Linked DNA regions of Neurospora crassa OR74A. The protein of the gene in region 1 purifies or fractionates together with the protein of each later gene. This does not show direct contact. Links are inferred from orthologs where the notes say so. Each region holds a gene or a part of one and is shown in the gene's direction. Other genes may lie near its edges.

Region 1 (3,998 bases):
CAACGAAGCGAGGACAAGCTCGCTCGCCGTCGCATCCATCTCCTTTCCAGGAGGTGCAACACACCGCATAACTGGAAGGTCTTTCGACCTCCTCAGTAAAGCCATGAATTCTATCTTGTGTGGGATAGCTGTTAACATGATTTGCCGCTAGAAATCAGCGGACGCGCAACCAGTTCCGACCTCGGGCGAGCGGCAAGGGCGGTGCGACCAGCTACCAGCTGCGACAATATGCCGAAGCAACACTTGGCGGAGGAAGTTTGCGCAAAGTGGTGAAGCTGCCTGAGGGTGAAGACGAGAATGAGTGGTTGGCTGTCAACAGTGAGCATCAACCCCGCCGACCCAGCTTGTTTTGCTCCAGGGCCATCCGCTGACCCGCTATGCTAGTGGTGGACTTCTACAATCAAATCAACCTCCTTTATGGCGCCATTACCGAGTTCTGCTCTCCCCAGACTTGCCCCGAAATGAAGGCGACCGACGAGTACGTTTCCATCACAACATCATACACCGCGACCAACACACTGACAGAGTTTAGGTTCGAGTACTTGTGGCAGGACACGGAGAACTACAAGCGACCGACCAAGATGCCTGCGCCCGCTTACATTGAACAGCTCATGAGCTGGGTCCAGGGCAACATCGACAACGAGGCCGTCCTACCAAGCAGGATTGGAGTTCCGTTCCCCAAGTCCTTCCCGGCGCTGGTCCGCCAGATCTTCAAGCGCATGTACCGCGTTTACGCTCACATTTACTGCCACCACTACCCCGTCATTCGGGAACTGGGCCTGGAGCCGCATCTCAACACCAGCTTCAAGCAATATGTGCTATTTATCGATGAGCACAACCTGGCAACCGGCAAGGATTTTTGGGGACCGCTAGGCGACTTGGTCGACAGCATGTTACGCAGCGACTAGACGACAGAATCTTGTATGGCTTTGGCATTGGCGCATGGTTATTTGACAGGGCTAAGCACGTAGGCGTTAGGTTGGGTGCGGGTTGGTTCCATTACAGGCATTCGTTTTCGTTTGGTATGGTGGGCTGGCAACGGGCGCTGATAGAAGGGATTAAGGGACCACGGAATTCAGGAAGGGACGCGCATCCCATGCTTTTGATGGCGCGTAAAGGGCACCGGGATCTCTTTGGGTTTTTGTTGTTTCGTTGTAGAGAGGGACAGAGAGGCCTGGAGCTTCTCGTGGAAATAGACGCTTTTTGACATCACGAATGCTGCCGCAGCTTTCACTTCTCACGGAACTTCATGTCAATGTCGAGGATGCATGCAGTGCCGATGCTCGGACGGGATGGCAGGGCACCGATAACGTTATCGGGATGTTGCTTGCCTGCCCCACTGCACTTGGCACGAACGGGCAGTTCCGGAGAAGAAGCTCTGGGCAGTTGGCGGGCTAAAGAGTCTTGGCAGAGGCACCATTACGGCGCAGCTCCAGGATTTGCAGCCTGAGGCAGACACGGTTTTGCCGAGCGGCTCCAAACCCACCCGTTACCTTGACAAAACTGAACCGGAGCTTGAATTCACGACATCGCGGTCCCCCGTCCACCCGTAGCATATCCCACACGCCCATCATGTTGTCGCGACAGGCCCTGCTCCGCCCCGCGCGGGTTCTCAACACCCAGGTCCGCACCTATGCTGCTGCCGCCGCCGCCTCCAGCAAGGTCAAGCCTCCCGTGACTCTCTTCGGTCTCGACGGCACCTATGCCACTGCTCTGGTACGCCCTCGCGCCCCGGACCCCGACGTCACAAGCAATTGAAGCACCCTCGAGCTCCCGTGTTCGTAGGGTTATGTCGATTGGAGCTCTCCCACATCAGCCAAACCGACAACCGAACGCAATGGACCGATAGACAGAATATCAGAGAGCTAACATAGTTCCCTGCGTCATTTACACATGATATAGTACACGGCCGCCGTCAAGACCAGCGCCCTCGAGCCTACCGCCAAGGCCATCAGCAGCCTCGGCAACCTCCTTGCTAAGGACCCTAAGCTCGCCAGCATCCTCGAGACCCCCACCCTCTCCCCCGCCGACAAGAGCGCCATCGTTGCCGAGCTCCAGAAGAGCGTCGGTGTTTCCAACGAGACCGTCAAGAACTTCCTTGCCACCCTCGCCGAGAACAACCGCCTCGGTCTCCTCCCCAGTGTCGTCGCCAAGTTCAGCGAGCTCATGAGCGCCGCCCGCGGTGAGGTTGAGATGGTCGTTACCAGCGCTCAGGTACGCTCGCTTTGTTCCGTTACGTTGTTTGATGGTGGGCAAAAGAAGAATCAGAAGGAGGAGGGAAACTACGAGGGCGATGACGGAAGGGGAGCCGAGCTTATGGGGGGATTTTATACGACCAGGAAGAGGAGGACGACAATGAAATTGGGCTTGGACATTGGCGGAAGCTCTGGCTGGAATTGGGATCCTGGGTGAACCGAAACACAAGGAGATGGGAAACAGAAGCGCTAACGAAATGCTGAACTACCACCATATAGCCCCTCGACAACAAGACCCTCAACCGCCTCGAGTCCGCTGTTGCCAAGTCCCCCTACGTCGGCTCTGGCAAGAAGCTCAAGGTCACCAACAAGGTGCGTTTATCTCACACCATTCCAACCCGGCAAAACTGGAGCTATACCCGACCCGGCTGCTTGGTGAAATTAGGCAAAACAACTACTTACCTTCTCTCTTTTAATTTGAACAGGTCAACGCCGACATCATCGGTGGTCTCGTCGTCGAGATCGGTGAGCGCACCATCGACCTTTCCGTCTCCTCCAAGATCGCCAAGATGAACAAGCTCCTTAGCGAGGCCCTGTAAATTCTACAATTATCCGAGTTTCCTAAGAAGAGCAGAGCAAATCTTATAGCATGAACAACCTCCAAACCGACCGACTATTACGGCTCTCCTGATTGCGCGTCTCTACTGGAATGGGCGAAAGTGAAGCAGCGCATACGTTACGTCATCTGCTATAAAAGGGAGTTAAACTCCTGTGTTGCGGACATGGTCTTTGGGGCATCAGCAGCAGCAGGAAAGACGGGAGGAAGGGGGAAGAAAAGGGGAACGAACCCCCTTTTGTGTGTAGGATGAGCTTGGAATTTTAAAAGATTCTACAGCCAGTCAATTCTCTCTCGAGAGTGTCCCTCGTTGTTTCGTGTTTTGGACTCTTGTTGTTGCCACAAAAAAAAGGGCAAAACAGTGCAAAGGTTTCCTGACATGTTGCACTGGGTTTATGGGAGGTGAGTGTTTCCAAGATTATTCAGGCCCATATTCAATTTCAGCAGGCATGCATGGCCGTGGTTGTGTTACCAGAGGCATAGACCTGCTTGACGCATGACACTTGCTTCGGCTGAGATAATCGGGCCCGATCAATACGTACCACTTCCTCCTACCGGACAGCAACTTACCTACTTATCTACCTTATCTTACCTACTCTGTATACGACATGCCGTCGCTGTCAAGAGTCTGCACATTCGCTGCGTGGTTCGAGGCGTTTAAACAGTGAAAAGAGACATATCCAATGCTAATACGGGGGTGTCTTTTGACACTAAAAATAAACACTATGGTATATACATGCTAATGATAAAACCATATAGGCACCTAAACTCCGTATACATAATCCACATCTAGTAATGAAACACCGAGAAAAAAACAGCTAGTTGATCGAGCGGATCGAGAGGTAGCCTTGTTCACCTTTGTGCTACTATATCGCTTTCTCTGTCCTGATTGAGATACGGGCTCGACATCATCCGTCCAAAGTCCAACTCATTACGCATCATCGTCGTATGTCCAAGCTTACTTCTTCCATTAAACTTCATCGGCCGCTTGTCAGCCATGCTGCGCCCGCGTATTTCGGGATATCGTGTCGGAAATCTTCGAGGATGTGTCTCAACGACGTTTGGTTGGGACTAGCACAGCCTTGGCCTTGGGCTGGCTGTAATGTATGCGTCTCTGCCGATCCCAATTGCTTTTGTCTTGCATTTTATCTTATCCTCCCTGTTATGCACTTTGAACCCCCCCTCTG
Region 2 (3,657 bases), about 2.7 Mb from region 1:
CAGCGCGTTGCCAAGAACGGCAAGAACGCCATCGTCATTGCCTTCCCCGGTGCTTCCCTTGGCGTCCCCCACCCCGAGACTTCCGTCCTCGTCGGTCTCCTCGGCGGTGTCTCCAACATCAAGTGGTCCCCCGGTTTCAGCCTCCTCGCCAAGGCCACCGCCGCCAACCCCGGCGCCGAGGCCTTTGCTCACAACTACGCCTACTCCGATGCTGGTCTCCTCGCCATCCAGATCACCGGCAAGGGTGCCGCCGTCGGCAAGGTCGCCGTCGAGGCCGTCAAGGGTCTCAAGGCCATCGCTGCCGGTGGTGTCTCCAAGGAGGACCTCACCAAGGCTATCGCCAAGGCCAAGTTCAACCTCCTCTCCGCCAGCGAGGTTTCCGGCACTGGCCTCGTCCACGCCGGTGCCAACCTTCTTGCCGGTGGCAAGCCCATCCAGGTTGCCGAGACCCTCAAGGCTCTTGAGGGCGTTACCGCTGAGAAGCTCCAGGCTGTATGTGTGAACCTACAAGAAGTTGGAAAAGAAAAAAAAGATATGCTAACAAACGTTCAACAGGCTGCCAAGAAGCTCCTTGAGGGCAAGGCTTCCGTTTCCGCCGTCGGTGACCTCCACGTCCTTCCCTATGCTGAGGATCTCGGTCTCAAGGTATAGACGTAGACTAGACTTTGGGGGCGCAGAGCGGGTTGTGCAATTCGTAGTTAATTGAAAGAGGAAATACCTAAACGCAGCGAAACGAACCGATTGAAACTGGAAAGGCGTGGATACTTTTTTGAGAAGACGCCAGGGTTGGGAGACAAAAACCAAAACCGTGTACCAACAGCAAAACCGGCCGGGATGAAGTGTGTTGTAGACCTTTCTCGTTGTGAAGCGGGAGATGAAGAACGAACGGCTGGGGACCGACGACTTTTTGTGCATATACAAACCTCTAGACTTTTTATCATTCCTCGCCACTACTTCTCTAGCAGAGCTATAAAACACAAAATGCAGCAGGCATTATTTCTTTTGTTGACATTGGATACCTGTTACAAACGAGGGTGAAATGTCAAGCTTAAGGAATGAGATGAGATATGCTAGTGAGTTTTACGGCGAAGATAAGTAGTTTGGAAGAGACGAGAATGCTTGAGCTCATTTGAAAGTTTACAAATGCGATAGCACATTCAATGTCAAACATCAATCACACAGGTCCATTCAAAATAGGTATCAGGGGTCGATGTTTACTTTTGACCTTGTTAGGTAAGCTGCCGAGCTTGCCCTGGCGGCGGCGGCGGCGGGCGCCCGTAGCTCCTGTTCCGTCACTGCATGGCATGGAAGGAAGCTTGGGGCGGCGTCTCAGTTGGGGGAGTTGGGGTCACAACTGAAGACAAAAAAAAAGGAGGGGCATCACGTGACACACGACGGAGCTTCGGGCAGCGGAGCTTCTCGGGTTCCCTGGTGTTGGATGTGGATTGGGTGGATGGGTGTGCCAGGGTGGGGACCAGTTTTGTCGAGTCGAGAGTGAACCGAATCGCGCGCAAGCAAGTACCGCAGCAAGCAGCAAGCAGCAGACAGCAACAAGTCTTTCTTCGTTTCACCGTCAAGACAACACCCACCCACCCACCCCACAATCTTCGCCCAACATGGTGTTCGCTTGGAAGGCCGCTGGCATTACGTGAGTATCTTGTCTTTTCGTTTTTATTGGCTTGGGGACGGGGAGAGGCAGGGCAAATAGGGCAGTTTATCGGAAGTGTGGGAGGAAGAAGACCAGAATTGCCGCGACAGAGAGAGAGAGAGAGAGAGAGAGAGAAGGATGGAGGAGGATGATGGGACCAACGAGCCTGCCTACCCACGAACGAGCTCGACAACAGAGATTACAACGATTACATGCGCCGAAATCTGGGGTTGTAATTGCCCCGCGACTTGAAATACGATCGATGGACGACAATCTACGGGCGACCTACAACAGGTGGAATGAGAAAGACTGGGAGAGAAAGAGGACGGAGATAACCCCAGGTCATGGACGACAGCAGGACCCAGGGAAACATTGAGGGAGATCAAGGAGAGAGATAATACACGACACACTTGGTCGAGAAAAGCGCCGAATGTCCATGACATGGAGAGACGGGCCCGAATGCGACAAAAACACCGGAAAGCGAGCAAGCGATGCGTAACGACGACTTCGAAGCAACAAAGCAGGCCAGCATTCATCCAGAGCTACGACAGACATACGCACTACAATCACCAGATAGCGCACGGAATGAGCAACACACGAGGATCAGGAGCAGGGCAAGAGGGGGGAACATAGCAGAGGGGACCGGACGAGAGAAAACAGTACTACAAGACAACGAAGGCTAACACGGTTCACGAAAATTACAGCTACAACCGCTACCTCGCGGTCGCCTCTCGTGCGCTCCGTCGCTCCCTCAAGGAGGATAAGAGAATCATTGCTGAGCGTCGTGGCGAGGCTGCCGAGGTCAAGTTCGCTAAGTGGTCGGTACGTAATAATCTTTTTGTCTTTTGGCTATCGGGGAACAATCAGACAAGAGAAGAAGAAAGAGGAGGGGGGAATGTCACGAGTGAGGAGACGGAGAGAAAAAAAATCATGAAGATGGATGGACACCGGCACTGGACGTAAACAACACGAAAGAGAAGCTAATCACACCCCCTCTCTTTCCAAACTACAGAACGGCAAGCCTGGCGAGACCGTCAACCTCAGCTCCGCCAACGCTGCCGCCGCCGCCGAGAACGCCACCTCCGTTCCCTCTTCTTAAGCGGATCGACACACACACAACCAACACACCGTGACGATGTGCTAGGAATGGTGGTGTAGTGGTGGACCGGGAGATGAGAGAAATAGGGTCATATCGCGAATCGCTCCCGCATGGCACTCAAATCCTCACCTCCTGCCGAGTGTCACTAAGCCCGAAGACGTATGACCTGTATCATCAAACATATTGGGGGAGCGAGGAAGAGAAACTCAATAGACGGTTTATTGGCATTTACTTTGTGAACTGGGTGTGACTGGTTGGAAGTGAATCTGAGTGACATATAAATGAACTTGAAAAAGTGTTAGAATGGGTGTGCCGCTCATTGACAGAGGTAACAGGTCCGAGAGTCGTAGATGTTGCACAAGGGATTCCTTTCCCTGAAGTACAGCGTCTCATTGCCTCTTTGGGCTTCATTGCATGATATGCAAAATACGGTAGGCGCTTATTCGACGAAGCCAGTTGAGTTGAAAGATTGGGTTCTTAAAAATAGAAAATGTGATCAATAAAGAATTGTTTGTCATTTCTTAGCAGCCTCATCAACCCACTGACAAGCGGAAAGTGAGGAAGCTTACCTCTAGGTAGGTATGTACCCGAAAGGGGAGTCGGTCGTTAACATTCGGGCTCACGGACGCTACCAGCAAAGAAGTCCGGGCAGCCAGGCACAGACTCAGGTTCCTCCCCTAACAGAGCCAAACATCACCCGACTTCCTCCACTCACCTAACCACAAACAAACAAATGTTCATCTCAAGTGCATACTAATTACCTTTCCTACGGGAGCCCATCCATAGCTCTTGTAAAAAGAAAAAAAAAAAAAACACAAGACCATGATCCCAGACGACCACCAAGCTGCAGTTCAAAGAGGTTTGTTTCTTTCGCTACAATTCCCAAAATTTCAAATATTTCAACAACGGC
Region 3 (4,197 bases), on another chromosome or scaffold:
GCATCAAAACCAGCCTTTTTAATAATAAAGTCTTAATAGATTCTAACTAACATAATTGTACAGCCAAACCACGGAATGTTCTTAGGCAATAATAGCCGTAAGGTATATAGATATTGAAACTCCTATCGAAATTCGCGCTATTTTGATACGCAATATAACTCATCAATAGCAAAAAGACCGATCCGTTTATAGAATTCTAGGGACCGCAATATAGCCTTAAATTTTACACTTATCGCAAGCTCTAGGCTCAGTAAAACATGGGTATAATCGCCGCATTGAATCTAGTCCTAAATATCCCGGTTCTATATACGAATTAGTAGGATTCCAGTATAAAAGGGGGGCAAAAAGCTTACTCTTAGAATTACGTCTTTATCTACCCATACTAGCTTTAAATCTAGCACCTTAGTAGCAATATCATTACGTTAACTTTCCCTAAGCTTAGTAAACAGTACGATTTATATCGTAATTTTATTATACAAAGCTAAAAATACATATAGGACAATACTTTTTCCGTAGCCCATTACCACAACTAATATCGTATCCTTTTATTCGCATACTAGCCGCACTACCACTTAAACCTAGCCTTCTCGAGGCTCTCTATTATTACTAATAATATTTTTCATAACTCTTAGTACGCATTAGGGATTAATAGGGGCATTAACATCGGAATCTATAGCATTGAATGTAGTACTAATAGAATAAAAATTCGAAGAAAAAAAATAATACATCGCAAAGATAAGCGAATTGTACTCGGAGGATAAGACAATTGTAATAATCATACCTACAAAATTTCAAAAAGTTGAGATAAAATATAGTATTGTAGTAAATAGCTAGTCGGCCAACTGACATGTGTCAACACCTAATTTTTTTACGTTTATACAAAAACTTGGCACTTTTATTGGACGCATTAAAAAACTAATTATACTATTAGATTCGTCTCGTCGAGTAGATTCTCCCTATACCCATTAAAGTTCCAGAACTTCCTTTTTTATTTTATTATCATAGAGTCTTACTGGGAAGTTAGTGATTTTATCCCAGCCTCTACAATTCCTATCTGATTGGGAACTCAAACCTCTTTTTTAGGCGTTCTCAATCAATACCGTTAAATATACTAAAAGAATAGATGCACGGACCACAAGTCTGAAAGATTAGAAAGATTCAATTTGAATTTCCGGGCGCGCAGCGCCCTTTCCATTGTACGCGCAGCGCACGGGCCGCAAGCCCCCTTCCCGGCCGCAGGCCGCCCATGCCCAAAAAAGAGGTCTGATTCTGAGATAAGCTAAGTAGGCAGGTTTCAGTGAGGTGGATGGCACGGTGCCCAACAGGAACGGAACAAAAAGAGCTTTTCAAGACAGCCTTCAATTCCACAAGTGAGTTGTACCGCTTGTTCATCTGCAAGTGAGTAGACTGATGCCGCGGTGCAGGATCGCAGGTGCGGGCCAGACCGGGTGCCCCACCCACATGGTAGCTCTGGCAGCTGTCATGGCTGGCAAGAAAGTTTGGCAGAACTCGGCAGCAAGATGGCCTTCCACCTGTGTACATCCGGGCCATAGGTACACTAGATAGGTAAGTGAGGTGCTGCGTGGGGAGCACACCGCAGCTGGCAGGCAGCCAGTAACTAACCAAGCCAATGGCCGGGCAGCAGTCCTCAGCCATTGCCAGGCTCTAGCCGGGAAAAAGGCGAAGGCGCCCGACTGGGGACTGGACAGCGGCACGATGGCGAGCCACACCTCACGAAGAAAGCACGGCCGGAAAGTGAGCAGAGAGCGGAAAGTGTGGAACCGACCTCAGCAAACCTCTCACGCCAATTGCGTCCTATTCCTATTGATCACTCCCCCACGATCAATTGCCGCCTGAATATCAAGTGGTCAACCCCGGGCCACTCCTCTCCAGCAGGTCTCTCCCTCGTCAAATATCCATCTCAACATGCTGTCCAGAGCTGCCCGCCCGGCCCTGAGAGCTGGAGCCGCCGTCTCGTCCCGGTAGGTGCTCTCCCAAGAAAAAAAAAATACCATGTCCTTCTTCCGTAAGAGTGCTCCGTCCGTCTCCGTCCAACATCTCGCCATCTCGCCTCCGTCTGTTCGTCAACCACCGTGCACCAACCGACTACAGCTTCTCGGGGTCTTCGTCTGGCTCTCAGCTCTCTGTGCGACTTGGAAACGAATGCGATTGCGCCGCCAGGTCCCCGATACATGACGTCCGATATATGGAGGGGCAGCACAAGCAAGCAAGCAGGGAACGGGTCGGGTGGGGAGAGAGAGAGAGAAGAGGAGTTGGACACACACACACCCATACGCACACGAGAACGAGAACGGACACGCGATAGCCCCGACACATCGAACCTTGAGACAGAACATGCAGACTGATTGAAGGTCATGACAACAGAGCGGCTGCTCCCGGCGCGGCCACCTTCGCGACTCTCCGTGAAATCGAGACCCGCCTCAAGTCGATTCGCAACATCGAGAAGATCACCAACACCATGAAGATTGTTGCCTCGACCAAGCTCAACCGCGCCCAGCGTGCCATGACCGAGTCCCGCGGCTACGGTGCCACCAGCAACGAGGTCTTCACCTCGGCCGAGACTAAGCCTCTCGAGGCTGAGGGCAAGAAGAAGCTCGTCGTCGTCTGCTCCTCCGACAAGGGTCTCTGCGGTGGTGTCCACTCCGGTCTTGCGCGCTTCATCCGTCGCCGCGCCGCCACCGAGCCTGAGTTCGACATCGTCATCATCGGCGAGAAGGCCAAGGCCCAGCTCTCCCGTACCAACGCCAAGGACATCGTCCTCAACTTCTCCGGTGTTGGCAAGGACATCCCCACCTTCGTCGAGGCCTCTGCCATCGCCGACCAGATCACCCAGCTCAAGGGCGACTACTCTTCCGTTGAGATTGTCTACAACAAGTTCATCAACGCCACCAGCTACGAGCCCACCGTCATTGAGGCATTTTCTGAGGATGCCATCCTCGCTTCCCGTACGTCCTGTCGGCCACCGTGATGCCCGTCGAGGTTCAGTCAGCTGACTAAGTTATATCCAGCCAACTTTTCCGCTTTTGAGGTTGATGAAGAGGTCCTTGGCAACCTCCGCGAGTACGCCCTCGCCAACTCCCTCTACTGGGCTCTCTGCGAGGGTCACGCCTGCGAGATTTCTGCCCGTCGCAACGCCATGGACGTGAGTTCTCCTCCCGTCCCATGCCACCTCTTTGAAGTCGACAGCGGACAGGCTGCTGACGTGAATTCTCTTACCCCTTATCCAGAACGCTTCCAAGAACGCCGGCGAGATGATCAGCAAGTACCAGATTCTCTTCAACCGTACTCGCCAGGCCGTCATTACCGGCGAGTTGGTCGAAATTATCACTGGTGCCACCGCTTCGGCCGATATGTAAACAGCAGCCTAAACAACCGCAGTCTATTAATAGAAGACGAAGATGTATTGAGGGAAAAGGAGAGGGGACCTGAGTAAAAGAAAAGGGTCCAAAGCCGAAATCCATCATCCCTGTCTGCACTCTCAGTTGACATTCAACCATGCCGTTCGAAAGTGTACGAGTATGCGTGGTGTGTGGTATGTCTAGTCCTGGTCCAAAAAGCTGCGTGCCAAATGCCTTCCTTTGTACCAATCAAATGAGCTAGCCTTTCCTTTATTGTACCAACGCCTTCAGTCCATAAATTGTACCACTTCTTTCACACACCTGCCCACTCCGTCGTCAGTAAGCCTTGAAGACATAGCCGCTGTAGTTTCAGTCCACTCAACAAATCTCAGCTGGGATGAGCGCTTGTCAGATGCATGACAATGTCGCTCAGTACAAATTCGTCGGTAAATTCTCAGTAAGCAACCTGACCACGCCGCCGGCCAACTTTCATTCGAAATAAAAGCCGCAGACGGGTGATAAGGGGTGGGGCTTCCATCTCGATGGGTTCGTATATTTGTGAGGAGTTGCTTGTGTTTCCAATATCATCCTGTCTTATCCCGCCTCCATTCCGCGCCGCCGTCGCTTGTTTGGGGCGCTTGATGGGACTGAATGTGTGAAGAGCATGGGAGATGGGATGGAAGTTTCTAATCCTTTTCCGATGTTCAACGGTTAAAAGGACTGGCTGCTTCATTTGCTGTGGAGTTTTGTACATACTCACTTCCCCGCCTGGTTTTAGTATAGGCGACGTTTGCATCTATGCCCTTGGGACAATAATAAAGAGTGGAACAAAGAGTGG

What was found.
Region 2: the proteins of NCU01606 (region 1) and NCU03558 purify together in Saccharomyces cerevisiae (affinity purification with mass spectrometry; 3 studies listed by BioGRID). This does not show direct contact. The link is inferred for Neurospora crassa OR74A from reciprocal best matches to the Saccharomyces cerevisiae genes ATP5 and ATP15.
Region 3: the proteins of NCU01606 (region 1) and NCU09119 purify together in Saccharomyces cerevisiae (affinity purification with mass spectrometry; 3 studies listed by BioGRID). This does not show direct contact. The link is inferred for Neurospora crassa OR74A from reciprocal best matches to the Saccharomyces cerevisiae genes ATP5 and ATP3.

The regions. Positions count from the first base shown.
Region 1 is NC_026502.1:2,975,376-2,979,373, reverse strand, and holds NCU01606 (ATP synthase subunit 5), read left to right. Parts: upstream 1-1,456; 5' UTR 1,457-1,572; coding exon 1,573-1,716; intron 1,717-1,902; coding exon 1,903-2,214; intron 2,215-2,474; coding exon 2,475-2,567; intron 2,568-2,680; coding exon 2,681-2,794; 3' UTR 2,795-3,445; downstream 3,446-3,998. Other genes in the region: mob-1 (protein kinase regulator), read left to right, coding at 152-318, 385-478, 708-873. UniProt on the Saccharomyces cerevisiae protein: Mitochondrial membrane ATP synthase (F(1)F(0) ATP synthase or Complex V) produces ATP from ADP in the presence of a proton gradient across the membrane which is generated by electron transport complexes of the respiratory chain.
Region 2 is NC_026502.1:232,482-236,138, forward strand, and holds NCU03558 (hypothetical protein), read left to right. Parts: upstream 1-1,474; 5' UTR 1,475-1,616; coding exon 1,617-1,648; intron 1,649-2,352; coding exon 2,353-2,470; intron 2,471-2,660; coding exon 2,661-2,747; 3' UTR 2,748-3,094; downstream 3,095-3,657. Other genes in the region: NCU03559 (ubiquinol-cytochrome c reductase complex core protein 2), read left to right, coding at 1-492, 556-651; NCU03557 (amino-acid N-acetyltransferase subunit Mak10), read left to right, coding at 3,570-3,606. UniProt on the Saccharomyces cerevisiae protein: Mitochondrial membrane ATP synthase (F(1)F(0) ATP synthase or Complex V) produces ATP from ADP in the presence of a proton gradient across the membrane which is generated by electron transport complexes of the respiratory chain.
Region 3 is NC_026501.1:5,400,843-5,405,039, forward strand, and holds NCU09119 (ATP synthase subunit gamma), read left to right. Parts: upstream 1-1,341; 5' UTR 1,342-1,566; intron 1,567-1,645; 5' UTR 1,646-1,926; coding exon 1,927-1,982; intron 1,983-2,385; coding exon 2,386-2,966; intron 2,967-3,029; coding exon 3,030-3,163; intron 3,164-3,248; coding exon 3,249-3,377; 3' UTR 3,378-3,679; downstream 3,680-4,197. UniProt on the Saccharomyces cerevisiae protein: Mitochondrial membrane ATP synthase (F(1)F(0) ATP synthase or Complex V) produces ATP from ADP in the presence of a proton gradient across the membrane which is generated by electron transport complexes of the respiratory chain.